4 linked regions of the Drosophila melanogaster genome follow. The protein of the gene in region 4 interacts with the protein of the main gene of each other region in a pairwise test. Each region holds a gene or a part of one and is shown on either strand. Other genes may lie near its edges. The genes, in order: Baldspot, CycB3, CG15631 and fd59A.

Region 1 (7,658 bases), on a different chromosome or scaffold from region 4:
ATTAGATTACCAAGGCTGTTCAGGTCTCCAAGTGGGCGGGGCCTTTCCCAGATCTAGATGCCAGTCATTCATGGTTTTATGTTTTGCCAGTGAGTAATGCCAAGCATAAACAAAAGAAGTACCGAAGTTCGGATTCCCCTTGCTTTATGACTGACTGTTTGAATAGGTGACTCGAATACGTTCAGAGTTTTAAGTTAACTGAGGAAATAAATAATCATATCAGACCAAAATAGAGTATGTTTTTTGGAGGTTCTTATATTTTATTTTTAAGTTTAAAGTTGACTTTGTGCTGTTACTTTGATGTTGATGTTGATCATTCGTATGACAGTTGCAAAGTGACACAATCTTGGCGTTTATGATCCTTATCATATATTCAGCAAATAGAATTTTTTTAGACGGTTAGCTAGACAATTTTACTACCGGATTAGCTTTTCGTACTTGTCTGTCCAAGCGGCTTTTGCAATCTTCCGGTGAAGAGTTGATGTTATTTTCCATCACTGACTTGAAAACAATACTTAATTTTGGGTTACTTTTTTTGTATTTTTAGGAGTACTGCGACCACGTCACTACTTTGTGGAACGATGTGGGTATTCGCGCCTGCTATGATCGCTCAAATGAGTTTCCCCTGCTGGATAGTGCGAAATAGTAAGTATCTAATTGGATTGATTCAAAATCAGATTTCTTTCCCATTTATTCAAAAAAAAACCTTACTAAAGTTTGAATTTTTTTTTACCCCAGCTTCCTGGACAACTTTGTGCGGATCAGCGATGCTGAATACATACCCAGCACCGAGGACATTCTGCACAGCCGTAAGATCACCACCGGCATCTCGCAAATCACCTTCCGCGTACCCATTCCCAAGAGCATGGGTGGTGGCGAACAGCAGTTCCAAATGTACGATGTGGGTGGCCAAAGGGATCAGCGGAATAAGTGGATTCAGGTATTCGAAGGCATACAGGCCGTATTGTTCCTGATCTCGTGCAGCGAGTTCGATCAGAATCTGCGCGAGGATCCCAGCCAGAATCGTTTGCAGGAGGCTCTGAAGTTGTTCAGAGCCGTGTGGCAGAATCGTTTCCTCGCCTCCGCCGGATTGATCGTGTTCCTCAACAAGTACGACATCATGGAGCGAAAGATTCGGGCCGGCAAGCACATTGTGGACTACTTTCCCGAATACGAGGACTTCTGCAAGAGGCCGCAGCAGGACAATTGCTTTGGCGAGAGTGACTGGACGAAGATGTTCATCAAACAGAAGCTGGTGGATATCACACAGGAGCCGTTCAAGCGACACTCACGGAATCAGGTGGATCTGGGTACCTCGGAAAGGGAGTGCTACTACCACTTCACCGTCGCCACGGATACGCGATGCATCCGTGATGTCTTCTGCGATGTCCAGAAGATGATCCTCTCGGAGAACGTGTCCAGCATGGGCCTATTCTAGTCCAGATCCCGTTGCGGATCGGAGAGCTTCTCAATAAAGTTAAGGGAGGGCTGTCCTCAGGCCCCCACCAACTGTGATCTAGTAGGATATGACTTACATAAGTAGCCATGTAAGACCGTAGATCGTAGTGGCAACCGTATGTTGCACAATGGCTGGTACAACGCTTTAATATATTTAACTGCATTGGGTGTAGAGGAAGAATCCTCATACCGAATGCTCTCACTACTCCTTCAACCAATGTCTAAACTCTAATAGAATATAGCATCTACAATAAACCAAAACACACCCAGACAATTTGAGAATGAGTTTTAAATATTTTTGCACCCAAAGTTTGGGTATTTGGGTCCCATGCAACACAAAGTGTAGCATACTTCAAAGGGCACACACGCTTTGAGCGATCTGATGTTGCCATAGGAAAGGAAAAGAAACCATAGTTGTTTTACTTTTGATCAAAATAGTTTCCCATTCGGAATACACCATTCTACTCTTTATACAAGAATATATAAGCTTCGTATTAAAACATTTTAAAATATAAAAAACATATTGAAAGGCAAAAAGTCATAGTGATCTTTTACAAAATATGCGCTTCTTATTCAAATTAAAAAAAAAGCTTATTCCACTTAAATGCCGTTTATCGATCAGAGCGTTATATTTTGTACGGTCGGTCTTAAATTTAAATGATGGAATCCACATAGTTCTTTACCATCGCTTAACTAATAGCCAAGTTACACACCAATGAGCTGTGGTCCTTACCTAATACCCATTACTCGTAAAGTGATATGGTATTTAAGTTTTGTGTCTACGTATGCAACACGAACAAAGAATCGTTACTTTCAACCAAATCAAAAAGTTAAATAAAGATCGATCATCGTTTTAACTTTTACCAGCTTACGTTCTCCCCAAACATTTTAACGATTCATGTCGGTATAACCATAAAACAAAAATATTCCTGTATAACTCGCGATACTGTTTAATAATTTGGGCATACAAATGCATCTTGCTACGCTTAACCAAAGACACTAGTGGCTTAACTGTTCCTTGCAACATAAGTAAGTTTGACTAGTACCCAATAGGAGTGGAACCAGTGTGCATAGAGCTCCACCCGCACGCAGCTAGATGTGACCGCACGCGAGCCGCAGAAAAATACCGCGATGGCAAAAGTACCAGCGCCATGATTGGTACTAAAATATCTCCTATATATAAGTATAGCGATAAAGCAGCCGAACCGCCAGCTAAACGTTCAGTTCGCTTTGCGCCGGCAAATTCGATAGTTTTTTGAGTTTGCTGAACCGAGTCGCTGGGGCAGAAGTGTGTGACAGCCAGCCGTGTGTGTTGTGATCCAGCCAATTGATACTGCGATAAGAGGCGGCGAGCAAATGTAATTACCTCATAGACATCAGCGTTCGAAAATAGTAACCGTGTTTTCTGTGATATCTGTGTGAGTGCGTGTTCTCGTTGATGTTTTGCGGTGGTTTGGTTTCCTCCTTATTTTGCGCCCCTTTTTTCTCATCCGATGCTGCGAGAGAGAACGAAAGAGAGGAGAGGCAAAAACATATTTCCCAGACATTTGCTGATTTAACCGAGAACTTTATCGATTCAGCAGGAACCAGAATACGAATGGAAAAAATTCGGCAAAGATCGCGTGTTTTTGCGTGAGAGCAAAGTTAGGGCGAGGAGGGGCAGTTTGTTTTTCGGAAACATAAAAACCGCTAGGAGCATCGAAAAAATTTCACTAGAAATTTTTGAAAGCGCTCGCGCAAAAAACCGGATATGTTACTCAAAAAGAAACAACAGAAAAAGCTTCCAAATCAAACCAAAGCGAAGCTTATGGCAAAACGAAATCACCTGTGTGTGCGAGAGTGAGTGAGAGTGCGTAAAAGTGTGAGCGCGTCGAGTGTGTGTATGATTAGTCGCGTGTCTGGCATGCAATTAGGCATTCAAACTAATTTCCCTCCCACCGGCAAGTTGCCCTGTCTCATTTGTATTTTGCTGGGTTTCGCTGTTTGCTTATGCATTCCTTCAAGTTCTTTTAATTCGCACGAGACTTTCGTGGGCAGAGAAAAAGAGGAAGAGAGAGCGCGCCAGACTGGCGCTCTCTGTAAACTACCACAATTACACTTTCCGTTACAGCCACCCCCTCACTCATGTGCTCCCAGAACACTGTGAGAAAAGTGATGTAATAACGGGGTAGCTTACAGGACTCAGAGTGTCCCTGGATTCAGCTATTAGTATTGTGATTTCAAGATATAAAAGTAGAATGTTAAAAAAAACCAAACTCGGAGACTCCAAATGTATTTAATTTGTAGTTTTAGTGTAGTTTTTCGGCTAGAGATTTTGGGGATCTTAAAATTCTCACATTTAAATTAAATATTTAAAATAAAACTCATGCACATTTAACTAAACTTAATTATTAATGTCAAGATTTTACCTCCGATTGACGAGCAATGTTTCTCTTTGTGTATCAAGTTGTTTGTGTATCCATTTAAGCTTCAGCACGAGGTGTGAAAAGTGTGAAAAGCGGAAGAATGTAGATGAAGATAACCACAAAGCGTGCGCCATTCATGAAAGCGTTGCACATCCCTTGCAGAGTGAGCAAGAGCGGGAAGGTGTTTGAAGGGGTGTGAGAGGGAAGAAAGATTGAGTAAGAGAGAGCCATGGACCAACGGTGTTTTTTTTGTTGCCTGGCAAAATCAATGAAATGGATGAATGAGAGGAGGAGTGGTGTGGGACGAAGGGGAAAGGAAGGTCGCCGAGAAATTTATGCGACAAAACGCGGGCTTTTTATGTGCCTGATTGTGTGTGTGTGTGTGTGAGAGAGCGCGTGTGAGTTTTGATAAGGGGGAGTGGTGCGGAATTTTTACTGAATTAAGCTTTAAACATCGTCGTGTAAAATCCCCATTACTTAGGAAACAGATAAGATACTGCAATCAGTAAAAAAAACTAAAAACATTCGACTCGAAGATAAATTGTAGTTTTAATAATTAAAGAATGTTCCCATAAGTTAAAAAATTATATTCAAAGTGTTTTCCTTTTTGTGTGCCTATTTTAAAAGTACGTAATGTATAAAAAAACAAAGTCATACAGAGCAAAATGAGAAAATTTAAACCGTCCTAGTTCATTGGGTACTTTCAGTATATTATTTTATTTATTCAAATAAAACAGCTGTATAGCTCGATGTATATTTAAATTAGTTTTTAATCAGCAGAAGCTAAAACCTATTGTTAATATTAAATTAATATTAATTTAATAAAATCGTTCTGGTGTACGAATAGCTATTTCTAATACGAATAGCTATATTCCTTAACAAAGTTGTACAAGATCTTTGACAAGATAGTTCTGAGTACATTAACTAATCTATCTCTACTTTCTTGTCAATCCACAGCTGCATATAACCCAAGTAACATAGCCACCAACTCAAACACATAAAGCCCACCAAAATGATCAACATGGACATTAGCGTTACGCCCAATTACTCGTACATCTTCGACTTCGAGAACGATTTCATACACCAGCGGACGCGCAAATGGATGCTAGAGAACTGGACATGGGTGTTCTACTACTGCGGCATCTACATGCTGGTCATCTTCGGTGGTCAGCACTTTATGCAAAATCGGCCTAGGTGAGTCTGCCACACTGAACTGAACTATGTGAACTAAAGCAGTTTTGCGATTAAAAAACATGTGTTCTTTGGTGGCTTAGATAGACAATTCAGTGAAATAACGGTTGGGTTAAGAACTTGCGCCCTTTGGCCTTGGAAAATTATTAGCTGGCGGCCGGGGAGCGGCGTTAATTACACCCACAAGTGCACACGCCCCTTGCAGTCGGTAGAAACAACTTTGCTGTTTATCGAAACCAATCCCTGGAAACCCCTATATTGACTCAGTCGCGCTTTGTTTCGGTTTATTCTCCGGAAAGACTGGAGTCCAAGTGTACATTTGTTATTAGCCCAGACAGCTGTTGAGTTCCACGTGTAATTATATTAAATTACGGCTAATCAAACACTAATGTTGTAGGTGAATCCTCAACTCGGGCTCAAATAGCCAACAATTCGCATTCGCACCTGAGCACGCACTATTCAGGTGTATTTTCCGATGGCTAAAGACCTATTTGATTGGGTATTTTAACAATTTTTCCAACAGTCAGCGCTGTTTGTCCCCTCCTTGTTACCTGATTTACCTGTGGTGGATCCAATTGGCGGCTATTCGTGCTGGCAATTGTCTCGTTTCGATTCGCTTCGTTTTTGCCTATGATACTGTGTTTGCCTTCCTGCTTCTAATTGTCGTCATCGGGCTTTGTGGCCAAATTAAGTTGGGCTCGTGACATGCCATTTAGACAGTATTTTTGCAAGATCATAATTCAGTTTTGTCACCTGGTTTGGAGCTGTTTATAGCCTTGCTAAGGCCACTGTGAAATTCGGTAGAAAGTTGCTACCGTCTAACAGAAAAGTTTATTATTGTCCAACTGGGGAAAACGGGCTATATAAGTTCCTTCTGAGTATCTTTCGAAACATACGTCTTTGTATTCTAAAAAATGTTAGCTAGATAAGTCTATTTGATGTGGCTTTCCTAACCCTGAATTCCACATCATGATTCAATTGCTTGCATAATGTAATGTGGAGTAGCGATTCCTGCCCACACTCCGACCCAAAGCCATTGGGTTTTTGGATGAGTTATATAGGGGCTTGGCCCTGGGTTGCTTGGCGATTCTCTACGCGGACACTCGTCGGGGGATCTGTCGGTTAATTTTTCACTTTATTGTTGTTGGCTTTGCCTTACACTTGGCTTTTTCGGAATGTCATTTCAATATTTGCCCACATGGAGGAGAGTCGGCTAAGCAAATGGACGTATGTACTTGGTACAGAAAGGTGTGAATTTAGTGAAAATGCAGGCGTTTCTTTCGAACTGTTGGGGTTAAAAAACTGACAAGGTAAGGATGAATTGGGCAAATTAAAACGGATTGATTTCCGCTTGCTCAGCATGGCTACTTAACTTCTTGAATACTCAAACACATGCATGAATATTCAATATTTGACGTTTTCCAAACCATGCCATGTTTAAGAATCTCTAATTAGCAACCACGGTTCTGAACAGCGTGTCAAAATTAATCGCAAACTTTGAAAGAATGCAAATGCACCTGACCGCATGCCACCGACTGTACATTTACATATTTAGAGAGTGGACTTCCCGCTTGCATTCCACCTCATCTTTCATGAATTTAATTTTTGAATTTCTGTTTTGTTTCACTCGTTTCGGACAGTGCGCCATTAAAGTCATTAAACTGATTAGGTTTATAGGTACACGCCATGTCGTACTCGTTTCATTTCAAATGCCCAACGGACAAAGTTTTCCACGGCGACCATGTGGCACGTATGTATGTACATATGTGCTTGTGTGTCATGCAAGAAGTGGGTGTGTCCACGCAGACGGGGTTGTGGGTAGTAGTCCTGGACGGAACTCCAACAGGACACTTTGACATGTAGCCGCTCTATAGGTCCACTTCAATTGGACACTGGTACACTGGACCACCTGATTGCGTTTACAATATTTACCAGCACTTTAAAGTGATTTTTGCTTTTTTTTATAGTTAAAAAGTAAACAAGAGGTCGAAGCCTTTGGAGAATTTTAATATTTCAGTTTTTAGTATCCATAACGTATTGCGTATTACAGTTGACATCTCCTTAAATGGTTAAAGATTAAATATGCCTAATAAAATTAGCTTATAAGCACTCTACAAAGAATCTATAAAATATAAGTTGCAAAGCCTTAATGGTCCATAAAGTAAGATATTCAAATGATGTAATATGCGTGAAAAACAAGTTCCTGTTGGCCAGTGTAGCTTTGGCGTGCGCAAATGTTTTGTGACCATATAAGGAGGAGGGTTCATAAGGGGGCGATATGAGATGGGGTGGGCAACGTGTGTGGGGACCCCAGTGGTTAAAATAGAAATCTGAAGCAGCGAATAATGTATGTATGTGTTTGCAGAGGAGCACGATGACCGATAATTGTAATCATTTAAATTTTAAAGCGATTGAGTCATTCAGTTGCTTTGGTTTCTCGCTATTATTCATGTTGTTCCGAGCAAATTGCATTATTTATATCACAACAACTGGAAATAGTGTGTCGAGGACAAATGAGTACAGAGTACAGAGGACCTAGGATCTAGGTCCACCCTCGCTCGAAATAATAATGTCCTTTAATGTGGATTCTCTCACCACGCACAG
Region 2 (8,403 bases), on a different chromosome or scaffold from region 4:
AGCGATTCGAAAGTCACATCCGTGGTCGGATGGGTCAGGTGGAGCTGACGGATCAGGTGGATGCGCTGCGGAGCTTGTCTGACCAGTTGGGCTACATTGACATGGATCGCGTGGCCATTCACGGGTGGTCATACGGTAAGTTATCTCGAGATAGGTGATTGACATTGTTATAGTGGGGTATTTCCCACAACTCTGCATACTATTTAATCTAATCAACAAGCAAGTCATTCTGAACTTGCAAGTACACAGACAGAATGAAGATGCCTTATCGGTTTATGAACGTTAAATTAATGCACTATAATGGTTACTTTCAATTGAGGGAACTGGGTAAAGGTAAAGGCATTGCAATAATTTCCATATGGTTGTCATTTCAACAGGGGGCTATCTTAGCCTGATGGGCCTGGTTCAGTATCCGAAAATCTTTAAAGTGGCCATTGCCGGAGCGCCGGTCACCAACTGGGAGTATTACGATACGGGCTACACGGAACGATACATGGATATGCCGCAAAATAACGAGGCCGGTTACTCAGCCGGTTCGGTGCTCGAATACGTAAACTCTTTTCCCGAAGAGTGAGTTCTTAAGCTGGTTCTTAAATTGTCAAATTTTCGAAACATTCATGTTTTCTTTTGTTCAGGGACAAACGCCTGCTGCTCATACACGGCCTGATCGACGAGAACGTGCACTTCTGCCACACCTCGCGTCTGATCAGTGCTTTGAACAAGGCAAACAAGCCGTACGAGGTGCATCTGTTCCCCGAGGAGCGGCATTCGTTGCGTAATCTGGAATCGAATAAAAACTACGAAACTAAATTACTGTCATTCTTGCAAAACTTATGAGATTCGTAAATGTCAACAGCCGAAACAAGATCGCCTGCTTAGGCAGTAAAACTAGACCCGCCCCACGCCCTCGTCCCTTTGCAATAGTTTTTTACATCATTGTCTTTGTTTTTATTTGAATTTTTGTTGTTCGAACTATTGTTTTTATTCGATAAAGAAAATGAGAGAAAACGAAATTTGTATCATATTTTTAGCATACTTAATTTATAAACGTACGCAGTTGTAAGTATAATGGAAAGTTGAATGAATGAAAGTTTACCTGCCACCCAATATTAGACTTCAGATCAAGACCAAGCAGCTTATTGTAATTAATTTATACTTAATGTTCTACAACACACGTCATATACTCTTAACTATGTTTTAATTGTGTTTGATATCCGCAAATGTACATTTTTCCTATCAGTAATTATAAGTTGTGTTTTAGTGCGTATGTACGAGTATGAGTGACTGTATGCGTGTTTTCCACAGAAACGGAAAAAAAAAACCTTAAACTTGTCATGCCTTTGGGGCAGGCCATCAATTAATGTTAGTTCTACGCATGCATATATATATATATATATATATATATTATATATCTCTTCGATAAACCTGACGCAAGTCGTATGCATACTTGATTGAGTTCTTAGAAACCCGCGTTTGGCTGAAGCAACAAAAACTGAATTAAATTTAATATTAATTATGCCTATATATAATCATTAGTTTTACAACTGATACAAGCAAACGTATATATACATATATTTTGTTTAACATTTAAATAAACAGTTGTGTGTAAAAGCAGGTGTTTTACTTTTCTCTCTTGTTTGGATTGATGGGGATTTTTGGGCACTGTTCAATTAATTAAATAAATATATTTAAACAAATTCCTTTCTGTCAGCTGCTCGAGGCTACTTTGATGAGTTTCTTAGTTCCATAAATTTGCAATTGCATATTTAAGCAAACTGCCCAAATAGTTCAATTCACATGTTTTGAACTTCAGACATTTAAATTAGCCGCGCTCTGGAAGACTACCCCCAATGCCTACCTTCACCACAGAGGTGTATTCCAGTCGATTTCCGTTAGGCGACCGAACGCCGCGGTACGGTCACACTGCAGGCCGCATCTGCATCTGGCATCTGGCGGTGTTTTTTTGATTTTTTACTCAGTGCTCTCTATCCCTCCGGCCAAGCGCCATAACTCCACAAAACTCGATCCGGAATTATATTGTGAGTTTGTGTGAATGTCTAGGCTTGATCGAGTCGACAATATCGGCAGTAGCGAACGACTCAAGTTCTAGCCAACACAAAGACCACATTCTGCAAGGAATCCGCTAGCGAGGATCTTGCTGAAACCAAGTGGAAGTGGAGGAGACGAGGACTCCAGGCGCCGCGCACAAGAACACAAACAACAAACGACGAGTGCGCTCACACGCAAACACGCATTCAAAATGGCGCCCACAAAAGCAACAACGCGCGCGGCCATCACAAGCGGGCATCATCAGCTGCAGCAGGCAGTGAATCCCATCCTGGGAGCCCTGGGAGCTGCCACTAGGAAGGGACTGACTCGGAGGGCGGCTGCCACGGGAAACATCGATCCGAATGTGGAGAATATGCAGACGCGCGCCAAACGCAAGGCCGACCACAGTCCAATTAAAAATGACAAAATCAAGCGCTCGGCGCTGGGTAACCTGACCAACAATGTTAAGATCATGACACTGCATCCGGCACAGGATGAGGAGCAGTCGGGCGTGGGCAAAAAGCCAACGGCCCAGCAGCTGCAGGCCCTGATGGATGCTAAGAAACAGGAGAATCTCAGCGTAAATGTCTTTGGCGCCAGTAAGATGACTACGCGCGCCTCCAGTAAAGTGGAGGATTCGGTGGAGAACTGCCACAAAGTGCTCGATAAGCTGGAAGAGGCGTTGGCCAGGCCCAAACCGCGCCCCAAGGCAGTGCCTGCCGCAAAAAAGACCGTTTTGGGGGAGGTTCAGCTACCGGCCATGCCAAATCCTATGCAGATTCCCGTTTTACTGCCGCCCACGCACAATCTGGCTGCTCCCCAGGTTGCCGCCGTCAAGCCAGTTCGTCGGATCTCCAATGACTTCAACAAGACTGAGGACAGCCTGTACATGTCCGCGCTGGAGGATGTCTCCAGTTGCGACTCCATGCGGCTGTCTGGAAACTTTGAGGCGGCGCGACGTCGCTCCGCCAAGTTGCAGCAAAAGACTGAGCAGCAGCCACAGCCGCTGTTGCTGACACTCCCAGAGACTGCTCCAAGCCAGGTGGTGCCCATTCCGCCAGTGCCCGAGGAAGTAGAGGACTTCGACCGCAAGAACTGGGACGATCCCTTCCAGGTGTCCCACTACGCCATGGATATATTCAACTACCTCAAAGTGCGCGAAGCGGAATTCCCCATTGCCGACTATATGCCCAGGCAGATCCATCTGACCACCTGGATGCGCACCCTGTTGGTCGACTGGATGGTGGAGGTGCAGGAAACGTTCGAGCTGAACCACGAGACTCTGTACCTAGCGGTTAAGATCGTCGATCTGTATCTCTGCCGCGAGGTGATCAACAAAGAGAAGCTGCAACTTCTGGGCGCCGCTGCCTTCTTTATTGCCTGCAAGTACGATGAGCGACAGCCGCCGCTTATAGAGGATTTTTTGTATATCTGCGATGGTGCTTATAATCACGACGAGCTGGTGCGAATGGAGCGGGAGACGCTGCGCGTTATCAAGTACGATCTGGGCATCCCGCTCTCGTACCGTTTCCTGCGCCGCTATGCCCGATGCGCCAAGGTGCCTATGCCCACGCTGACCCTGGCTCGATACATCCTGGAATTGTCGCTCATGGATTACGCCAATATTTCGTTCAGTGACTCGCAGATGGCTTCGGCCGCACTGTTCATGGCACTGCGTATGCACGGCGGTCCGGGGCAGCTGGACAAGCAGACGTGGACATCGACGCTTATCTACTACACCGGCTATCAATTGGCGGACTTTGCTGAAATTGTGACCGCGCTCAATGCAGGACTGCATCGCAAGCCACGGGCCACCATCAAGACGATACGGAACAAGTACTCGCACAAAATATTCCACGAGGTGGCCAAGGTGCCGCTGCTGACGAACCAGGAGCTCTTCCAGGGCAACCTTGACCTGAACGAAAGCAATCTGTCGTAGGACAGCCTCAAAGTTTAGCCAAATTCAACATGATACGATACGCTTCACTTAGGCTCTAAGACGCTTCTATTCCCAATATTAGCCCCATCCCGACGAAACAGCGGATCCCCGCCTTAATCTAAAAACCCCTGATTTTACCCCTTACCTAGTGTTCCCGTCAAGTCCTCGCAATTTATTATATTTTAATTATTATTGTGACCTTCGCATTATTGACATGTTTTTTGCATAAATATTATGTTAAGAGTGCTTTTGTTTCTTTTTGCCATGTATTATTGTTTAATTTTCCCACATACCGCATACGTAGCCGAACACAATCAATCTAAACTCGAAAGGCGACATTATCTTTAGCACCCCCACCCAAAAAATCCCAAAACGATTCATGTTTTAATATGTACGTTAGTCTTAAGAGATGCCAGCATTAAATAAACCTAACTCGTAAGCCACCAAAGCAGACACGGATCCCCACTAACTTATTCTACACAGATACACAAACGCAAGGATACGAAGCGACTATGAAAGGCACGTGTGTCCCGTACAACCTGGAAATGCGCTGCGATCAACCCTCGTCCCGTGCACGCCATGTACGCCATGTGCATCTGTTCCTGTCGTCGTTATTAATGCTGTTATTTGTTAAGTCGTTCATGGACTCCCCTCCTTGCGCTCACATTCCCGCCCCTCGAAGGACGCTCACCATCAACTTCCCAGTTCCTGATCATACCGCCCCGCCCCGCCCTGCCTCAGTTCACCTCGTTTATCCATGGATGGTTGATAACGTTGCATTGTTGAAGTAACTAGTTATGTATGTACTCAGTGTTATGTATGTATCGTTTTGCGAGAGAATACCAATAAACATTTTTACGTCCGTTCAAAAATACTTCAATCTTTTTACCATCATTACATTCGGAAAACGGTGGGCGAAGTGAAAAAATTCTTACTTTTAATAGGGTAAGTGCAATAAATTCGTATTTTTATTTTTCTTTCTAGAAAACTCTTTTAAAAACCTGATGGAAGTTTCAAAATCGGGTGAGTATTAACTCAGATATAACTAGTTGAATGCAATTGTAGTATCATTAGTGTTTATGTTTACTTTAAATAAGTATTTTAAATTAGCTGTCTTTATCCAGCATGTTGGAAATGATCCTAGTTCCTAGGGGATTAAATAATTTAGGGCATTATTTTCAATTTCCTAGAATCTGGAATGTATGTATTTGTTGCAGTTCAATCTTTAATTGTTAGAAACAGAGCATAAACTCCTAGATGTCAAAGGTTAAGGGAAAACGTTTAGCACATCTAGACTTCTTTGCCGTGAGTATACCCATTACCCCACCCATTCTAATTCCTTTGTTTCGAATCCTCTCAGCTGAATCTGTGCTCCTTTCTCCGCGCTCATCATAGAACAGCTGATGGCTGATGACCTAAGGACATCAAACCCTGGCTGGAATCGGTTCGATTTGCTACAGGTAAAAACCACCGATACCGTCCGTCCAAATCATTCATAATCCATGAGTGTAAGTGTCTGTCTGTATACTCGTAGTCTGTATACCCCGGGCATGATTCTCTCGAGTTTCCTGCGGTTCCTTGCTTTTGGCGCGCTCGTCCGTCATTTTAGCGCCAAAAATTTGTTAAGGATTTGCGCGGCAGGCTGCGCATGCGCCGCAAGACATCAAGACGTCGTCCCTTGGTTGGGTTCCTTTCCTTTCCTTCGGCCCTCTCTTTTCCGCTGCACAGCGAAACCCAGCCGATTTATGTCGCTGCAGTTGGGTCCAGCGAAGGGCACCAGGAGTACCAATACCAGTAACAGCGTCTCTCTCTGACGCTGATTTTCTACCACCACCTTTGGCTCGCCCAGAGTCCTGCCTTTGTGCGTTCCCTTTTTTTCGGCTGCCTGCCAGCCAGGTAGCTCCTGTCGTCTTCGATTGTGTCCACGCCGGATAAAAGAAGCGGCATTGCCATAAGAATAAGGAAAAGAATAAGGATGGGATGTGAATGTCTTGGGTTAGCTGTCTGTATGGGAGCAGAATGCCGAGTGCATGTGCTTTATTTTTTCCGGTTCAAGGTGCAACTGGTAACTGGCCAGCATTGCTAATTATCTTGGTTGGGTGTGCAGAAATCAAGTTTATTTCGCAGGGACACACAGGATGATAGGCAAAGACAGCTGCCTCTGGCCAAGGAGGCAGCAGCGAAGTTATGACTACGACTCGGATTACTTCACGCCCCACCAACACCATTACCACTACCACCACCACCGAGGTCCACCCATGATGTCGGCCAGCTTCAGTAGGCCGGCGAGTTGAAGGCACCGTTGTATCCGCCCCCATATCCACTGCCATAGCCAAAGGCATTGTGATTGTTCAGCACTCCAAATGGTCCCTTGTGGACGCCATCCTCCTTGTACTCGGTGTTCATCGAGAAATGATGGTCCCAATGGCTCGGATCAGCGGGATTGTGAGCCGGATAGCGATGATAGTTCATGCCGCTGGTGGCAGGAGCCTGACCAGCTGCTCCGGGCACTCCTGCCACTCCAGGTGCTCCCGGAACTCCAGCTACTCCAGGAACTCCTGGTTGAGCCACAGCTCCGGGTAGCACTCCATAGGCGGGGAACTGGGCTGGTTGAGGGTACGCTGGGTACTGTGGCAAGTATACTCCGGGGTAGGGATAGCCAGGATAGGCACCAGTTCCCGGGAAGTAACCAGGTGCTCCTGCACCCACTGGCTGCTGGGGAGGAACTCCCACCGGATACTGAGCAGGAACTGCTCCAGCAACAGGATAGCCAGGAGGAGAAACAGCACCTAAAAAGGGGACATTTCATTAATATCATAATTTCATATATATTTCAAAATGTGGATTTGCTATTCACCAATCTTTTAAATTTTGTATAACTTTTTTGGGAGTTAAGACTTGATATTAGTTTTCTGATTTCACTAAGATAAATGAACCACCTATTAGAAGGACCTACCTGCACTTTGGTAACCACCGGATGATGAGGATCCTCCTGAAGAGCCTCCTGCAGCTGGGTACGGAACTGGAGCCTGTTGTCCAGGAAAACCCGGAGGCGGATAAGCGGGAATCTGGTGACCTCCTGTAATTGTGAGTGCCGGATTTGGTGACTGGTTGCCAGGAAAAACAACGGAGTTCGTACTGGCCACTCGTACGCCAGAGCCACCCTGCTCATGGCCATGGGCATCGTCGATGGATCCAGTTGCGCCCGCATAACCCGATCCCAGCTGACCAAGGCCAGGATAAAGTTGCGAATTGAGATTGGCCCGCTGGCGATGGCGACTGCTGGTAATGCCTCCCGTCAGAGTGGAGGCCAGGTTAAACTCCGTCTTCTGATCCTCCTGACTTTCGTCCCTGCTGAATTGCGAGGCCTGACCGCTGGCTATCTGGATGAGGGCCAGAGCGGCGAATGCGATGACCCTCCTGCTTAACATGGCGTCTTTGGGTACACTAAAGCCCAGAAGCTCACGGCGCGTGTATTTCATGGTGAGATCTGATGACACGAGAGCTTAGCTGAGTGTCTATTTTTGGGGTTATCATCAGGGGCTCAATGCCCAGATATGTAGTTTAAGTCTCATTGAGTGTTCTTTCTAGTAAATTGAATGAGAGAGTCTACACTGAAAGCAAAAGTTGAAAATATAACACAACAATGTGCATATGCATAGATACTAGCCATAAATTTGAACAAATAAATGAATTTTTTAAAGAAATACCCATATACAAATTTATAAATATAAATGTTATATATAAATTTCTTGCAATGTATAAATTTGCGGCCTAAAGCCAAGTAATAGATAAGTTGAGACGCATTTTTGGTTTAGGGATTTCCCAAGCAATTCATAACTCATCTTTGCATAGATGATGATCATGAGTTATGATCCTCCCTTTATATAGAGAACGAAAGCTTTCCCAGTCAACCTTGTTTACCAGTCAATAGATTAGTATTATAAGTACATATGTACATATAGCATTTGTTCCATTACCCAAGGTTCTTCCACTCGATTCCATTCATCTTTCTTATCGCCATGTGCTGCTGCTGGCTATAAAAGCCGCATGGACATTGGGACTATCAGCAAAATTGCTCTACATATCCCAAGATGCAGTTGTTGGCTGCGATTCTAGTGCTAATCCTGGCCAGCTTGGCCCACGGTAGACCCACTTTCGATAAGATTGCGGAGCTTCTGTTCGGCGACCCAAATCATTATCCGCCAGCAAGGCCAGTTGATCCACAGCTACATCCTGGACCAGGTCCACTCATCCAGGAGGGCTACGAGCAGGGCTACGACTATCACTATGGTGGAGGCTACGGCTACGGTGGTAGCCACCAGCAGACGCATCCAGGTGGCTATGCCTATTACCCACCACGACCGGTTCCGGCAGCAAATGACTACTATCCACCACCTTGGTCAGTGCGTCCT
Region 3 (7,146 bases), on a different chromosome or scaffold from region 4:
ATTTTCCTATTATCTCCGTCTGTGGATAGTCGTCTTCTTAGCTGGGCTTTATGTAATTAAGGGCTGTAACAAGGGCAGCCGGGGGGCGTGGCAACGTCTGTTGTGTGTTATTACCACCGCAGTCATTAAATCTTTTGTGTGTAATTAAAAAATTACAATTTAATGCTTTGCGCTCATTTATTGACACGGCGTGCGGTCGTTGCAAAAGCATTCACATCCGCACCCATATCCGCACCGACATCCGCATCCGCCCCGTGGCCAAGCAGCTTCAAACGAGCGGAAAATCGCAGGAAAACCAAGTGGAGAAAATGTGGAACATTGTGTTGGTGGCAAAGGAAAGGGGGATAATAATGAAGCACTGATGGAATTCCTAATGATGCAAGTCAGCTCGTCTACAAAACGTGTTAAGTGTGTATTTATGGCTAGGTAAATGTTGTTAAGACTTCGTATCGCCAACGGCTGTGTGTTCCTTAGTTAATGCTGATTACTTGGTAAGAAAAGGGATTTATATTGTCAGCTTAAGACATGTGATGTGAATAAACAGACAAATAACGTTTGGCCAATAGCCACAACATTTTAAATCTGCTCCCGTAAAAATACAGCTTTGGATTTTAATTGAAAGCCTGACTCTCATGCCTGCAGTGAAAAATGCCGAATGCTAAACTTTCGATAAGCCGAATGAAAGGAAACAGATATGTGGGCGAAAAAAAAAGGGGTAAAACTCTTCGCTGACATGGAAATTGCATTGCACGAATGGTCTCGCCCCCCCCCCATCGAGTCGGGTGGCATATGACCTGGAGCGGATTTCGCGTTGATTTGCTCTAAAAGCCCGTGCGAAACTGACCCACTTGCCGGTGGATTGGTGAATTGGCGGATTGGCGGTTGCAGGCCTAAAATGGCCGAATTCTGCATTTTTTTTCGCAGTATTTATTTGTCCTCTTCTCTTCGCTGCTGATTCAGCTGTCGTCGCTCAAATCGTTGACTTAAAGTGTTGATATTGAAAGCTGGCGGGCACATGGGGCAAGTGATTTGAACTCATGCTGTGCCGAATAATGCTCCTCTCATTTGGAAATTAAATAGCCGGGCTGATTGTTTTGAACCGCACCCAAATAACGGCCACGCTCATTGCTGCTCATTGTGATGCGAATGACGATGGCCAATGGTAAATGTCAATGATGAGCGGAGCATCCATGTCCATGTGTGTAGACAGAAAAATATTTAACGCGCGGTCGGGCAATAAAAGTCACCACGCACAATATGGCGCCCAGTCGCAATGCATATCCGCATACGCAACAGCATCCGCATCTGCATCCGAATCCGACGTTTGGCATTCAACTGATTTATGCGGCTGTCAACGCAGTGCTCCTATTCCTTGCCCCAAAAAGCCCCCCCAAAAAGGCATTCCGGCCAAAAGCGCATATGCGGGTCCTTAGTTGAGCCCCAGTTGATGTGGCTGATTGACAAACCGCGCCCGTTGAACAAATGAACCATTTGCCATGCGGTCCGTCGGTTGTGCAAATGGCAGTGCAACCTGTACGGTTAGCTTTATTGAAACTAATCAGAATTTCCTTTGATCTATGCTGGCTTTTAAAATTATAAGGTCTTTTATTACAAAATTTTAGAAATACGTTGTAAGTTGGCTTAACTATAACTTTTGCTATATATTATTAAAACTGATATCTTTCAAACTGATGGTAGTTTTGTACGGGCACTTTTCTTATATCTTATCTTCATTTCTGTCTGCATATCCATCAAAGTCGTTTGAGTGGAAACTGAGTGTAACTGACTTCCAGTTACACTCCTAGTGTCGTGCTCAGTGATTTTGGTATAGGATCGCGGAACGGAGTACAGGTATTTCAGCTGCTCCAAAGGAAGTCCGAGAACCCTGCCGATATATTCCTTGCCCACCATGCAGGAGCCACGAAGTGGAGAATCGCAACCACCGGTCTGCCGCTTTGAATGATGGTATTCAAAGACGATGCCCAAGTCGCAGTTCTTCGACTTGATGGTATTCCGCACATCAATTACACTAAATGTGAGTATGTTCTGAAAAACTCCCAACTCGATGGCCTCCTCTATGGCCGCATCAGTGACCAGGTAACAACCAAGGGAACAGTCCGAGCTCAGATCCCGCACATTTACGTGATAGACATTGTCTGCTCGCAGAAATATGGATATTACTATGTCTGTCAGGGAACGATCCCAAAGTGAGTCCAGCAGTTGCCTATAGAAGCTATCAAGTATTTTCAAACACTGCCCATGACAGAACTGACAGGTGCTCGAGGTCTTCTTGTCCAGCCTTTTGGCGCCATCCATTTTCTGAATGCACTCTTTGGCCAAATGCTGAACATTGGCATTGAGGCTATTCACCTGCGTGCGGATATCGCAGAGTTCCTGGCTGTGAAGGCCCTCCAAACGTCGATTCATCTCCTCCAATTGGTTGGATAAGTCGCATATAGCCGGGCAGTTGGAACATGGCGGTGGATTCTGCGAGCAATGGGGCTCCTCTGGTATATAGTAACAGCAAAATTGGTCTTCGCTCTTGCAGTCACAGGATTCGTGGGTATCGGAAGTGCAGATTGAATTTGGAAAAGTTTCTTCAATTTCCACTGTAGGCTGACCACGATTTGCTAAAGAATCTTTAGAGCTGTGAGACTTAATAAGGCGGTGACTCTTTGCTTGCTTCTTTGTGGATTTTCGAGAACTATTCGTGTGGTGTGCAGACTTCGACTTGGAGTGATCTGTGCTAACTATTTTGGAATTCTCAGATTGATCCTTCTTTAATTGTTTAATTCCTCCACCTGTGGGCACCACAATCAACGGTCTCATGCAAAATCGTGAAGCTGTTTGATTCCTGGACGACTCCTTCATCCGTTGAGGGGCTGGCTCTTTCGGCGTTTGAGCGGGACAAGATTTTGTAATATCCCTCTGTTGCTCTTGGCTATAGCAAACGTTGATGGAGGACAGGCTGGAATCATGGGACACCGTACATGAGGTGTCCCGGAAGTGCAGATCAAATGTGGGAATATCCTTGGCCGCGGGCTCTTCAAAGGACACACAGCTCTGACGCTGGTTCTCGTGTCCATCGCTGCGTGGGGACTTATTGGGTTCCGGTATGGAACAGCGGGTGATTTTCAGGCTTTTATCGGATGCACTTTTATTGCCCCGGCAGGAAGGTTCATCATTTGTGGCGCAATCAGTTGGCTTCGAGCAAGAAGGCTTACAGGTATCATTTTGCTGGTCGTGGCTTTGGTTGTGTTTATTTTTTTTCTCCTTTCCGGATTTATTGAATTTCGTACAGAATCCGCCAGCTGAGAGGCGGCTATGTGAGCCCTGCAATTTTAGAGTGGTCCTGGATTGAAATCTTCTATGCATGGAATTTTGCACACGGATGAGGGTTGCCATATACCGCTGATATACTCTATTGTATTCTAAATAAAAATTTTAATTTTATGTATTCATTATTAGCAAGCTTTACTCACCCGGATCTGAGCTAAACCTATATATTTTTTGTGAATTCCTCATAATTTGATCTTCTAAATTAAAGTCTGCATTTAGCGGCTGGTTCGAGTTCTGACTAAAATAATGAGCTCGTTTTTCCATCTTGCAACATTTTTATGCTTTGTACTTTTTGTATATAATTTTTGAGCCGAATATTAGAAATTAACACTAAAAGCTACGCCAACTAATAGGCATTTTTTTTACTAAAATATTTATATTCTATTTACTTACTGATTTATACATCAATAAATCGAAGCACAAACGGTTCTGGTTTGATATTCATAACTTTTATTATGGCTCACACACAATTGGCAAACGAAAGTTGGAAAATATTAAATCTTTGGCTAGGTATTATGGTTTAGATTTTACACCACTTTAGCTGAAATACATTTAATTTTATTGAATATAAATAACTTTTGTAAAATATGTGTTTGTTTTTCTCTCGTTTGCATAATATTTGTATTGTGGCAAAGTGTTTAAACTTATTTTTACATCTATATTTTATTCTGTATTTTTTAGCCCTGGAAATTTACACGTGGAATTGTTTTTATTGGCCTTTGACTATTAAAAAGAATTATGTGACATATAAAACTTTTAAATGCTGTCGTTAAGCTCCTTGATATTTATATTAATTGTTTGATGCGTTTAATGGTATTCCAAAACTTTATATATTTATGTAGTTTAGTTGAAAAGATTGTTAGTTATATCGAATGACGGAAGGCATTTGTTTGTATATACTAAACTAATGTACTTTTTTAGTTTTGGCAACTGTCTGATTATATCTTAAAGATTTGGCAACGAGATGCAAAGTTGCAGGGAAAACTTCCAATTCACGTTAAAATATATACTGGAATGTTGAGCAAAGCTTTAGTTTTGCATAATTTTGGGGAGCCAAGGCCAGCAAACCATTGATTATGTCTAACTGCTATGAGGATTTGTTTAAATACATATAAATATCCTATAAGTGATCCACTAATATCATTCAAATCGAAGCACTGAAAGCGTAATAGAAATTCTTACTAAACTTAACATTCTTTAAGGTTACATTAACGCACTGAACTTAAGAGTAAACCAAATTACTTAGACCGAGCAAATCAGACAGAAAAGTGTCGCCGTGTGGACACGCCTTATAGCTATACAAAGCACATGGGGTTTAAGGTCCTGGTTTCCGGTTCCGCTAGGTGCATCACCTGTCATCCTTCATCCGCCTGCAGATTCAGATTCATCCCAGGAACGGCCGCATCAGGACCATTAGTGTCATCACACCCAGTTCCACGCACATATTTCTGGTCTCCTTGACTCCCGAAGAGACTCGGGGCTCCAGCGAAAGTGTCTTGTACTTCTCCACCTTGGTGAAGTCACTGAATCCGGCCAGATTCCGTGATGCGGCCCGCACCAGGTAAACGGTATCTGGCTCTAAGTTCGTCAGAAGGAAGGTAGCCCCTAAAATTTATAGAATCCATGAGTTTACATATCGAATGTAGCAAGAGATAGCTTTTATCTATATTTTAAAGCTTAACTCACCCTCCTCGAAAGCATAATCCTTCCGCCTGGCATTGGTCCACTTGCCCGCATCCGTCTTGAACTCCATTTCGGTCATGTACTCGATGCGGAATCCATTGACCCCCATGGGACTGTCGGGAGGACCTCGTGGAGCACTCAGTACCACATCGAAGGTGTTTGAATTGAAGCCACGCAGCTGGAAGTTGGCCGGTGACGGAGGCTTCTCGCCCTGCTCCAGTCGCGTGGTCCTCTCGATGGTGCCCAGATCGTTCCTGGCGCGACACCTGTAGTTATCGAAGGCGCTGGTGTTCAGCACATGGATGGTCAGACTCGACCAGTAGCTGTCCGACTGGATCGTGTACAGTCTGTTGTTGCTGTGCAGCTTGTTGTGTTTGCGATACCATGTAAAATTCGCTGGAGGTTCCGCCAGTGCCTCGCACATAAGAGTCGCAGTTCCGTTTATGTAGGCGTACTTTAGACTAACAAATGGAGTCTTGGACCAAATGGGCTTGTCTGCACAGGGGAAAATATCAAGGATGATATAAAAAAAACTAAAGTATTTAAAAAGGAATAGGGACTGTTTCGAAATATTTAAGCAAAAAAAAATTGATGAAGATTTCTGTTCTATCTCCCATTTTAAGGCAATTAAAAGTGCCTAAAATCGAAATGAGCATGCATAGCGCCGCAGGAGACAGCTGAAACCGCGGCAGCGCTTAAAGGTAGGCCATGGAAATGGAAAAACCATGTGCGCTAACCATAAATCAGGACCCGGCCAAGTTAAGCCATTAGCTGCATGTGCGCCACGCCCACTCGCACTGGCACTCGTACGCCCACTGGCCACACATCAGGAACACCGGTCGACATTGGGATCCATCAAAAGCATCAAAGGCATGCCGCGAGTGTAATTCCAGAATTTTTCGTGCTCAAAAACTATTTACCGCTCACTGCGCTGCATACTAAGCGCCAACTCGAAATTTGGAACAAAACGGTGCTCAAGTAATTTCGACTGTTTACCCCACCACTTTGCACACTGGGACTTGGTAGGATCAAAAATGTTATGCTCAACTTTAAGTTTGATATAATTTACAATGTATTATTCAAGGAAATTGTACACACTAGTAAAATGGAAGGGCTTTTTTTTAAATAATCACGACTTGGCAACCCAAATTTCAAAGTAGGTTCCCACTGTGGATCAGTTTTCTACGTTTTGGAAATCGTAAATCATACTCACGTTCGATTTTCATCAAAACGGTGCGCTCCTGCATATCGGAAGCAATCGAGTTGACTTGGTATGCCCGGCACGCGTACTCGCCGGTGTCATTCTGTGTTACCTTGTTGATGAGCAAACCATCGGCCAGGATGCGGAACTTGGAGTCGTCGGCCGCTGCACACGCGGAATGGAGAAGGTGGAAAAGGGCAGATATGTAGTGGCAGTCGGGTTCGGCATTTGCCAGTTGGCTGATGGTGATGGTGGTGGAGCAGATTGGAATGCAAAATGCTCATTATCGAGGGAGGTGGGGGGATGGTATTCTTACCGCCGGCACTGATGGGCTGTCCATTGAAGTGCCAGGTGACATTCGGCTGGGGCTCGCCCTTCACCTCGCACAGGATGGTGGCCTTCTCGCCCTCCTTGACCGTCATCACGGTGGCATTTTCCGTGAATGTAATTTTCTCTGTGCGTGCGTGTGTGTGTGTGTGTGTGTGTGTGTGCGAGGAGGGAAAACAATGCAATATTAATGACTGACCTCATGCCCGCCAGCGACTCCACCACTTACGGTACACAATCAAATCGAAGGATTTACTATGCAGACTTCCATCAGCAGCTTCGCAGCTCCAATTGCCCTTGTCGGCCAGTGCGATGTGGGCGAAAACGATTTTCAATTGTTCTGAGCTCGGAAAATAAACGGCGAAACGCAACGGAGTGGGCAGAGAAAATGGAAAATGGGAAATTGAGTAAGGAATACATAGGAAAAAGTTTAAACGGAGTTCGCAAAACAAAGCGATATATAAAATGGGGCCAAATGTGCGGACTATCTGATACCGCTGTGATGTAAATAAATCTTATGTGTATGTAAATATTGAATCCATTAAGATATGTTATTTGAATGTTACTATATGCTTCCTAAGTAAGTAAAGTACTCT
Region 4 (7,759 bases):
TCATGAAATATAATAGAATATAAGTTCCTTAAAAAGGTACGTTGAAAATTTAAATTAGAATTGCCCAGGCACAAGATGATATGCGAGAGAATGAATGCTAATAGTGGGACAGAATAAAGGCCAGCGCATTAGAGTAAGGCTTTCTCGGCTTTTGTTAATGGCTTTTAAGTACATAAATCATAATTTTTGTCTCCCTGTGTAAACACCGACACGAGAACACCTATGCAAACACCCTGGTGGCGGGGGCCAAGTCAAGATGGGGGCGGGTGCAGGTTACCCGGCAGAACCAGAGGCAGAACCACCACCTTAGACCTTTCGACCCCCACCACCACCTGCTACCCATTCCCATTCCCATCGCCACCGCACATCTTTCACCGCCGATCCTTTTTCTTTTGGCCGTGGTCGTGACACCCACCGATTATTTGCAGGCGGGCACTCCGCTTATCCGTGGACTCGAAGGTCTGCACTGCACAGGTGTACTCCCCCGTCATGTTCCAGTCGGGATTCTTTATCGATATAACACCGGGACTGCCCTCCATAGTGAATATTTTGGTGTCTATCTTCGACTTCATGAAGCCCTACAGGCGCAAGAACAAGAACAAATCGAAGACAAAGACAGAGTTCGATTAATCTTAATTAATTCGGTGCGACCAAAGACCCCGAGTGACTCACCATGGCGAACCCCTTGACCGATGGTATCCACTGGTAGATGGAGTGGTTATTGAACAGCCATTTGAGGACGAATCCTTGCTCCCGCGGCCCGATCTCCACCTCGCAGTCGAGCACCAGAGGATCGGGTTCGTGGTCTCGGAACAGCGTGTAGGTGCGTGGCACCCGCAGGTTGGTGATGCGCACCGAGTGAGTGACTATGCGGCATGGGGGCGGAGTAGGAGGAGTACAGGATTAGTTTGGAGGAACCCAAAAAGGATGTATGCGAGAACTGCTCACCCGAGAGTAACGCGAGCACGGCCAGCAGCGTGGCGCGTAGGCCTCGTCCTCGCCAGCCCGCCATGACAGCCGACTAGTTTGCCTCAGCGTCGCTGGGCACTCCAGATCCTGTCGCTCGTGATCCTCCCGTTCCGCGAGGACGCGCCGTCGTTGTGCGTGGCAATGAATACTTCTGTGGTGGTTGGACGTTTCTACTTATCGCGGTGCTGTCTGTTTTCGGCTTGCGCTTTTATGTGGATACATGGGGGCCTTTGGTTGCACTCATTATCACCAATCTCATCACAGAAGCAGAATGGCAGGGGGATGCTTTTTTCTGGGGATACGGGCACTGACTGGCACAAACTTTTCTCGGCCCAACGAGCTCAGCACCTCGGACGCAGCAGCTCCTCGCAGGACATCTCCCACTGCAAGTCGCAACTATGGCAATCTCCTTTTATGGCCCGGGCCATTTAAAGTTTTGCCCACACAGGACAGGATACTTTTTGTTAGCGAAAAATCGACTTTTTGCAGCCCACATACACGAACATCTACGGCTGCGATAGTGTGTGCGTGCGGAATGGAGTCCGCGGGGGCGAACTGTGCCAAAAGTGGAGTTCGTACTCTCGGCGTAGCGCGTGAGTTCTGCTGGCGGATACCAATAGTTGGTGTTGGTATCTTCGGCGGCACACTGTTGTCCCGCTGCCAGGCGCAGCTTTTCATGTTTTAACACTGGAAGCCAACGGGACGCTCGTGGGAGAGCGGAGCTTTCGTTTGGTAGCGCCGAACTCCACGGCGTTCTATGGCGGCACAACTACGTCCTGCGCCAAATCAGCTGAGCGATGGTCACTGCGCAGGCGCTAAAGCTGAACTGATTTCCAGGCAGGGGTGCCACACCTGGACAGGTTTGCTGGGCGGTAAATTCAAATAACTCGGGGTGTTTTATTGCAAACAAAAGGTAACAAAACGTCGAAAAGAGGGATCCCTTTAAGGATATTATTACAAGGAAGAGAGTGGCCACATATAATAATATAATTATAAAAATAATACAATATTACAGGTATCAATAGGATTAAAAATTAATATTTAGTATACTACAAACATATTAGTAACATGCTGTAGTAGCTGTAGTAACAACACGTATATCGGTACCTACCAGTCAAACATGTATCCGTGTAAACTATTATTATGTTGTTGTTTATTCAATTTTCAATAACATCAGCAAAAATCTTAGTCTAATTTATAGTTAATAGTGTTCCTCTTGCTTGGATGTGTTACAGTTACACGCAGACGCACACGCACACACATACACATGATTAGTACTTGCATGGTAGATATAGGTCTAGAACCTGAAATCCCGACTCCAGACCCCAAGAATTCGTGTTAAAAGTATACTATAGACGTGCGATGCTTCAGATTTACATAGATATTACGCGCAGATATATGTTTAGTACGTAAGTGGACTGGCAACTATAGCGTTGACTTCGATTTGGTCGCATTTAAAAACTCGTGTGCTGGCTCCTACATCCTACGGATACACCTACTGATCACTACTTGCTGCTCGGATTGGATTCCTGGGGATTGCTGGTGGTGGTGTTAGTGGGCTGTTAAAACGTGCTTAGATCGAAACTGAAATCACCGTTCAATGGACTGTACACAAGCCAATTGGTTCAAGCGAGTGGGAATCCCGCCTAGTCGCTGGTCTCCTCCTGGCTGCCACCGCGATGCAGGTGGTGGCCAATCAGCGTCTCGATGCGAAAGTCCTTGGCGCTGCTCTGTTTGCTGGTCCGCAGAACCAGGGGCTCGCTATCGAAGCGTCTCCTTGGACTTGAATCGGACGCCTCGGCAGAAGCCTCAAAGATCAACGCTTCCGGCGGCGCATCCAGGCGATTTGTACAGGCGCTGTCCACCGAGTCCGAGATATGTGAGTCCTCCTGCTCATTGCCGCTCTCCACGTCGATCTTGTCCTCGCATGAGTCGTCATCTCCCTCGGCTTCCGCATCGGCCTCTGTGTCCGCATCGTCATTGTACACATTGAGATCCATGTAACCACCGCCGGCGGACAGTCGTTCTGCGTAATCCCTGTGGCCGGGAATGCCCGCAGCACTGGCCACAGTCGCCACATCGAAGGCGTATGGGCTTTTGTACTTGGAGCCACGGCTGCTCTCGGATCCCCCGCCCACTCCTCCGCCGGAGCCACTGCTGTGCGGTAGTGCATCCAGGACATCCGCTCCTCGACCGCGATTCATGAAGGGCAGCCGGTCGAACTTGTCCCCCGACTGACTTCCCTGGTAGAAGGATGCTTCGGCATTCGCAAAGAAGTTAAACTTCTTGTCCGCTCGCAGCGCTGAGTCAAAGACATCCGCCGGATTGTGGACCACGTCGAACTCCCTGCTCCCATTGAAGTTGGGCACGTTGAAATGCACTGGCACGAGGGGCACGGGCTTGCGTATCCAAAATGGAGACAGCGTGCCAAAGACCGCCGGAAACGAGAAGCGTTGCATGGTGGGCGCCCGTTTGTAGCGCTTCCGCCGGCGCAGGAAACTGCCGTTGTCGAACATGTCCTCCGCCAGCGGGTCCAGCGTCCAGAAGTTGCCCTTTCCGGGATTTCCCGGCTCGCGGGGCACCTTTATGAAGCAGTCGTTCAGGCTGAGATTGTGCCGGATGGAGTTCTGCCAGGCGGGGAATTTGTCCTTGTAGTATGGAAAGCTACAAGTAAAATGCACAAGTTATTTAACATTTTTTCGAGGAATTTTTTTTAAAGAATTTGGTTGTTTATCTAGATCACTTACATTGCAATCAGTAAATAAAATATCACATTTTAAAATTTATAATTTTTGAAATCGATTAAAGCACTGAATGTCTCTTCTTTTCTATGTTTTCAATTGAAATTTTATAGGATTTATTTATTTTTATCGTCTTTACAAACTACTACTTTTATTCTCTTTTTCTGATGTTTTAAGATAACTTGGAAAAAATCAAACTATTGCTTCTTCATTTAAGGATATTAACTTTGCTGGCAAACTCACCGCGACATGATGAAATCGCAGATCCCGCTGAGCGTGAGCTTCTTGTGCGGTGACTGAAGAATGGCCATGGTGATTAGAGCTATGTAGGAGTATGGTGGCTTTACCAGGGGACCACCCGAAGATCCCGAGCCGTCTCCGTTGCCGCCGGCGGCACCACTTCCGCCCATGGACGACGGCTCGATGTCGCTGTCGTCGCAGCCCATGGACATGGCATCTGCGGCGGCAGTGCGCGAGGACGCACTGCATCCGATTCCGTTGCCGATGGAGGAGCCGCCTCTGGAGCTTTTGATGAGCGGCGGCGAGAGGGAGACGCTGTCGTGCAATGTGTGCATGGGATCCGTGCTGGTGTGCATGTCTTAGCGGGTATACACTGTAGTCTATTTGAGTCCGCGAATTGGACTCACTAAATTTAGAGGACGCAACACTGTTATTTAACTATTTTGCTCAGGAACTGTGTTCGTTTTGGCGTTTCACTTGCTTCACTTGGCATTTGCATATGCTTTTCGATTCAACTTGGAATTTGATATTTTCTTTTCTATTTCCGCTTCCGTTAACCGTTCGCTGTTACCGTCGTTTCCGGTTTAGCTGCTAGGATAAACTGTACATATGGCCAGCAGTGGTGTGGAAAGTGGAAAGTTGGCTAGCGCCTAGTCCGTCGTCGCGTCCGTTGAAGGCGGAATCCGCTGGCCAAATGTTAACTGAATCGCAACGAAAACGAAAATCTTCTCGCCCAAAATGTTTTTCTACATAACTCAAACATTTATTTATGAAAAACCGCTGCCATTGCCGCTGCCGCTGACGTTTCCCTGAGCTTTTGTGTCGCCGTTGCTGTGTTTTCGTATCTCGAATAACTGTGATTCTACTGCCGACGTCGCCGTTGGCGCGGGCAGAGCATCCTGACGGCATCCTGGCAGCATCCTGGCTGCGCCCCGACAGCATCGCAGCAGAGGGAGAGAGAGCAAGAGAGCCCGGCCAAGCCTCTCTTTCTAGCGGGGGATGGGTTGATATCCTGCGAACCAATCTATGCGAACTAGCTCGTGCCATCCCTCTCCCACTCGCTGCAAGTCCTCACAAAATGGTGGAGAGCCCTGGCTGTAAATGCGATATTTGTGTTTTCCTCTCTCCAAGCGGCGGCAAATTGGCAGCGACTGCAGAAGCCAACGAACGCGGCGGTGGGGGGGATAAACATTTTGCGCAAATTTAGATACCTTTTGCCGCTTTGACGTCGTGGCTCTTAATAATGTTTCATTATGTCAGCCACATGGAGGCAGGCGTCCTTTTCCCCTGCGGCCCTCCCTCGTCCTCGCACTCGCCCTGCCAACCACCACTCTGCTCCTCTGCCCCAAATGTTATGCTTCAAATGTTGGCATTTTTATGTGCGAATGTTTTTCTAACCGTATGTCGACGTTTCTTGGTTTCTCTCGGGCTCGCAATCTCATTCCCAGCCCTCTGTCCCTATGCACAGAAAGAAAAAAAAGAAAAGAATCTAATTATGTGTTTAATTATGTAAAGTCCAAATTCCACAAATCTTACTTAAGTTAAGTAACGAAGTTATAGGGACTTTTCTTTGCAGTTAGATAAGTAGAATTGTATTTATTTTCATAGGATATATTTTGTTGGTTATTCTAAGAACGATTAACTGAAATATGTATATAATACAATGTATTATTATTAAATACATTTAAAAAAAAAAAAAATGCATAGAACAGTTATGTCATTTTAGCAATGCGAAAAAACCGAAATAAAATATAATTTTAAAACAATACATACAATATACAATACATCTAATATAGATAATATTGGTTTTTTTTCTGTATATTTTATTTGGGTGTGGAAGTGAGATGGAATCAAATGCACCATTTTCACCAACATCCTCCGAGCACAATGGGGGCTACTAGAGTGAGAGAGAGAGAGCAGTAGAGTGGGTGGGACGGGAGGGGGTTGGACGTACATGTGTTTGCTGCATTTGTACTTGTATCCAAGTGAGTTTTGTACTATTTCTCTTTTTCATTTTCGCTGTTTTTGTTCTCCAGTTGTTAGACATTGTTGTTGTAGCCATTGTTGTTGTTCGCCATTCAGTGTTTGGAGCCTTCCCTTTTCAAATTAAACATTCAGTAGTCACTTTTATTTGTTGTACTTTGTTCAAATTAGTTTTCCAGTTTTGCGGAAGTTACCCACACACAACCAAACACTCACTCACACACACAGATGCATGGAAACAGACACGAATACAATAAGGGCCGCCATCTTCGAATTCAGAACCATATTGATGTCGCTTCTTTCACTCTTGGCATCGTTTTCATTATTCTATTTTAGCTTTGCCACCCCCAAAATTCCCATTTGCCAATTCCCCCACGCCCGCCCACCTTTTACCCATTGTTACACTTACAAATCAATGATTTTTTGGCCAGATTTTTAGGGGCGTGGCATCGGCCATCGGTATGTATCTTTATCCCGCTTAGTAGTGTTGGTATTATCAGGGGGCATAAATAGAAGGGTGTATATACAATACTTACATGGGGTCGTTTCTGCTCTGCCTGCTCCCCAATTTCGAGGCGGAAAATTTATTGAGGCTTATCCTTGTCTTTTTATGAGCAAACAGAACATTTCATGGCAGCCAAATGAAATTGGTTGGACACAGAATGTAATCAAGTTTTTCGAAGCTAACGCTTAAACTATTTCGGAACTTTATAAACAGGTAAATCAAGCAAAAACGTACCCAATTACTGGAAAATGCTGGAAATCGAAAAGGAATATGTGTTTCAAACTATTGAGTATTAATTGCATGTGTACACTGTAATGACAACAATTGGTAATTAATTCCGACTAGAGTCAGCATTAATATATGTGTAACTGTATCGGTAGAATGGTTAACAACAATATAGCTCACCATGCATAGAGGATAATCTATCTATAGCTACCAGTCATCCTCAAAAACATTAGCCCACTTTATCCCCCGCGAGTTGCATCTAGTATATCGAAAATATTTGCCCTTTCAATCCACTTTTCATTACTTATCCGCCTGCTCAATAGTTTCCATGGCAATTAAACGATTCCAACAGCCACTATCCTGGGCCAATCCGTGGTCACAGCCGTATCCATGTTCCCTGTCAGACTACGGTTAATCGCCGCCTTAGCACGGCAGGAGTCCGGATGAAGGACGAAGGACTCGGGCGGCCAGTTGAGCGTAAGGATGCGGTGCATTAAAGCTTTCGCAGGGGAACAATTAACTTATGGCCAAACAATAACGCCGAGGAATGCACGCTGACAGGAACCAGCCACCAGGAGCACATCCTGCTCAGCCTCACCGCCAGCTCCATCTCCGGGCTATATATATCTACATGAATATCCTGCGTCCTCATCCCGCGCTGCAGCAACAGCGGCATGATCCAGCAATAATCCCTCTTTTGTCAGCAAATTTATTGCACACAAGCAAGCCGGCAAAGGATATGCCAAGCGGATGAAACGGAGCGCTCAGTGGGCAGGAGGGGTAAGGACTGCGGATACCGATTCGGGATTGGTCTCTGGCTTGGCTGAACCCAGACTTTGACAATACAAATCTTTATTGCGAAATCTGCAAAAGGCAAATAAAAGATTTGACACTTGAATTGCTTTGACTGCAAGGATTCGGCAAGGACAATCGCCACTTTTGGCTCAAACAAAGGACACAGTTGCTAGCCACCGACGATGGTCCGCCTTCATTATGCACTGGGAACAAAAAGAGGTCATAAGATATCTTCATTTGATATTCAAGTAAATCAAAATGGCTATGGCAGCATCTAATTATTATTTAATTATTATTTTGT

What was found.
Region 1: the proteins of fd59A (region 4) and Baldspot interact in a two-hybrid assay, tested with the Drosophila melanogaster proteins (one large-scale study listed by BioGRID).
Region 2: the proteins of fd59A (region 4) and CycB3 interact in a two-hybrid assay, tested with the Drosophila melanogaster proteins (one large-scale study listed by BioGRID).
Region 3: the proteins of fd59A (region 4) and CG15631 interact in a two-hybrid assay, tested with the Drosophila melanogaster proteins (one large-scale study listed by BioGRID).

Annotation. Positions count from the first base shown.
Region 1 is NT_037436.4:16,656,629-16,664,286, reverse strand, and holds the start of Baldspot (baldspot), read left to right. Parts: upstream 1-2,671; 5' UTR 2,672-2,816; exon of another isoform or gene 2,817-2,876; intron 2,877-4,820; 5' UTR 4,821-4,875; coding exon 4,876-5,057; intron 5,058-7,658. Other genes in the region: Galphaf (G protein alpha subunit f), read left to right, coding at 548-645, 739-1,438. UniProt on the Drosophila melanogaster protein: Catalyzes the first and rate-limiting reaction of the four reactions that constitute the long-chain fatty acids elongation cycle. This process allows the addition of 2 carbons to the chain of long- and very long-chain fatty acids (VLCFAs) per cycle.
Region 2 is NT_033777.3:24,864,386-24,872,788, reverse strand, and holds CycB3 (cyclin B3), read left to right. Parts: upstream 1-1,972; 5' UTR 1,973-2,260; coding exon 2,261-3,988; 3' UTR 3,989-4,855; downstream 4,856-8,403. Other genes in the region: CG3744 (uncharacterized protein), read left to right, coding at 1-135, 378-570, 636-837; Elal (Elastin-like), read right to left, coding at 6,263-6,777, 6,945-7,419; Srg1 (Sting-regulated gene 1), read left to right, coding at 8,083-8,403. UniProt on the Drosophila melanogaster protein: Cyclins are positive regulatory subunits of the cyclin-dependent kinases (CDKs), and thereby play an essential role in the control of the cell cycle, notably via their destruction during cell division.
Region 3 is NT_033779.5:4,730,824-4,737,969, forward strand, and holds CG15631 (uncharacterized protein), read right to left. Parts: upstream 3,636-7,146; 5' UTR 3,604-3,635; coding exon 3,483-3,603; intron 3,432-3,482; coding exon 1,684-3,431; 3' UTR 1,590-1,683; downstream 1-1,589. Other genes in the region: fipi (factor of interpulse interval), read right to left, coding at 4,724-4,944, 5,026-5,517, 6,236-6,388, 6,540-6,677, 6,780-6,890.
Region 4 is NT_033778.4:22,865,049-22,872,807, reverse strand, and holds fd59A (forkhead domain 59A), read right to left. Parts: upstream 4,650-7,759; 5' UTR 4,307-4,649; coding exon 3,954-4,306; intron 3,634-3,953; coding exon 2,616-3,633; 3' UTR 2,102-2,615; downstream 1-2,101. Other genes in the region: CG13532 (uncharacterized protein), read right to left, coding at 416-578, 673-866, 949-1,012. UniProt on the Drosophila melanogaster protein: Involved in development during embryogenesis.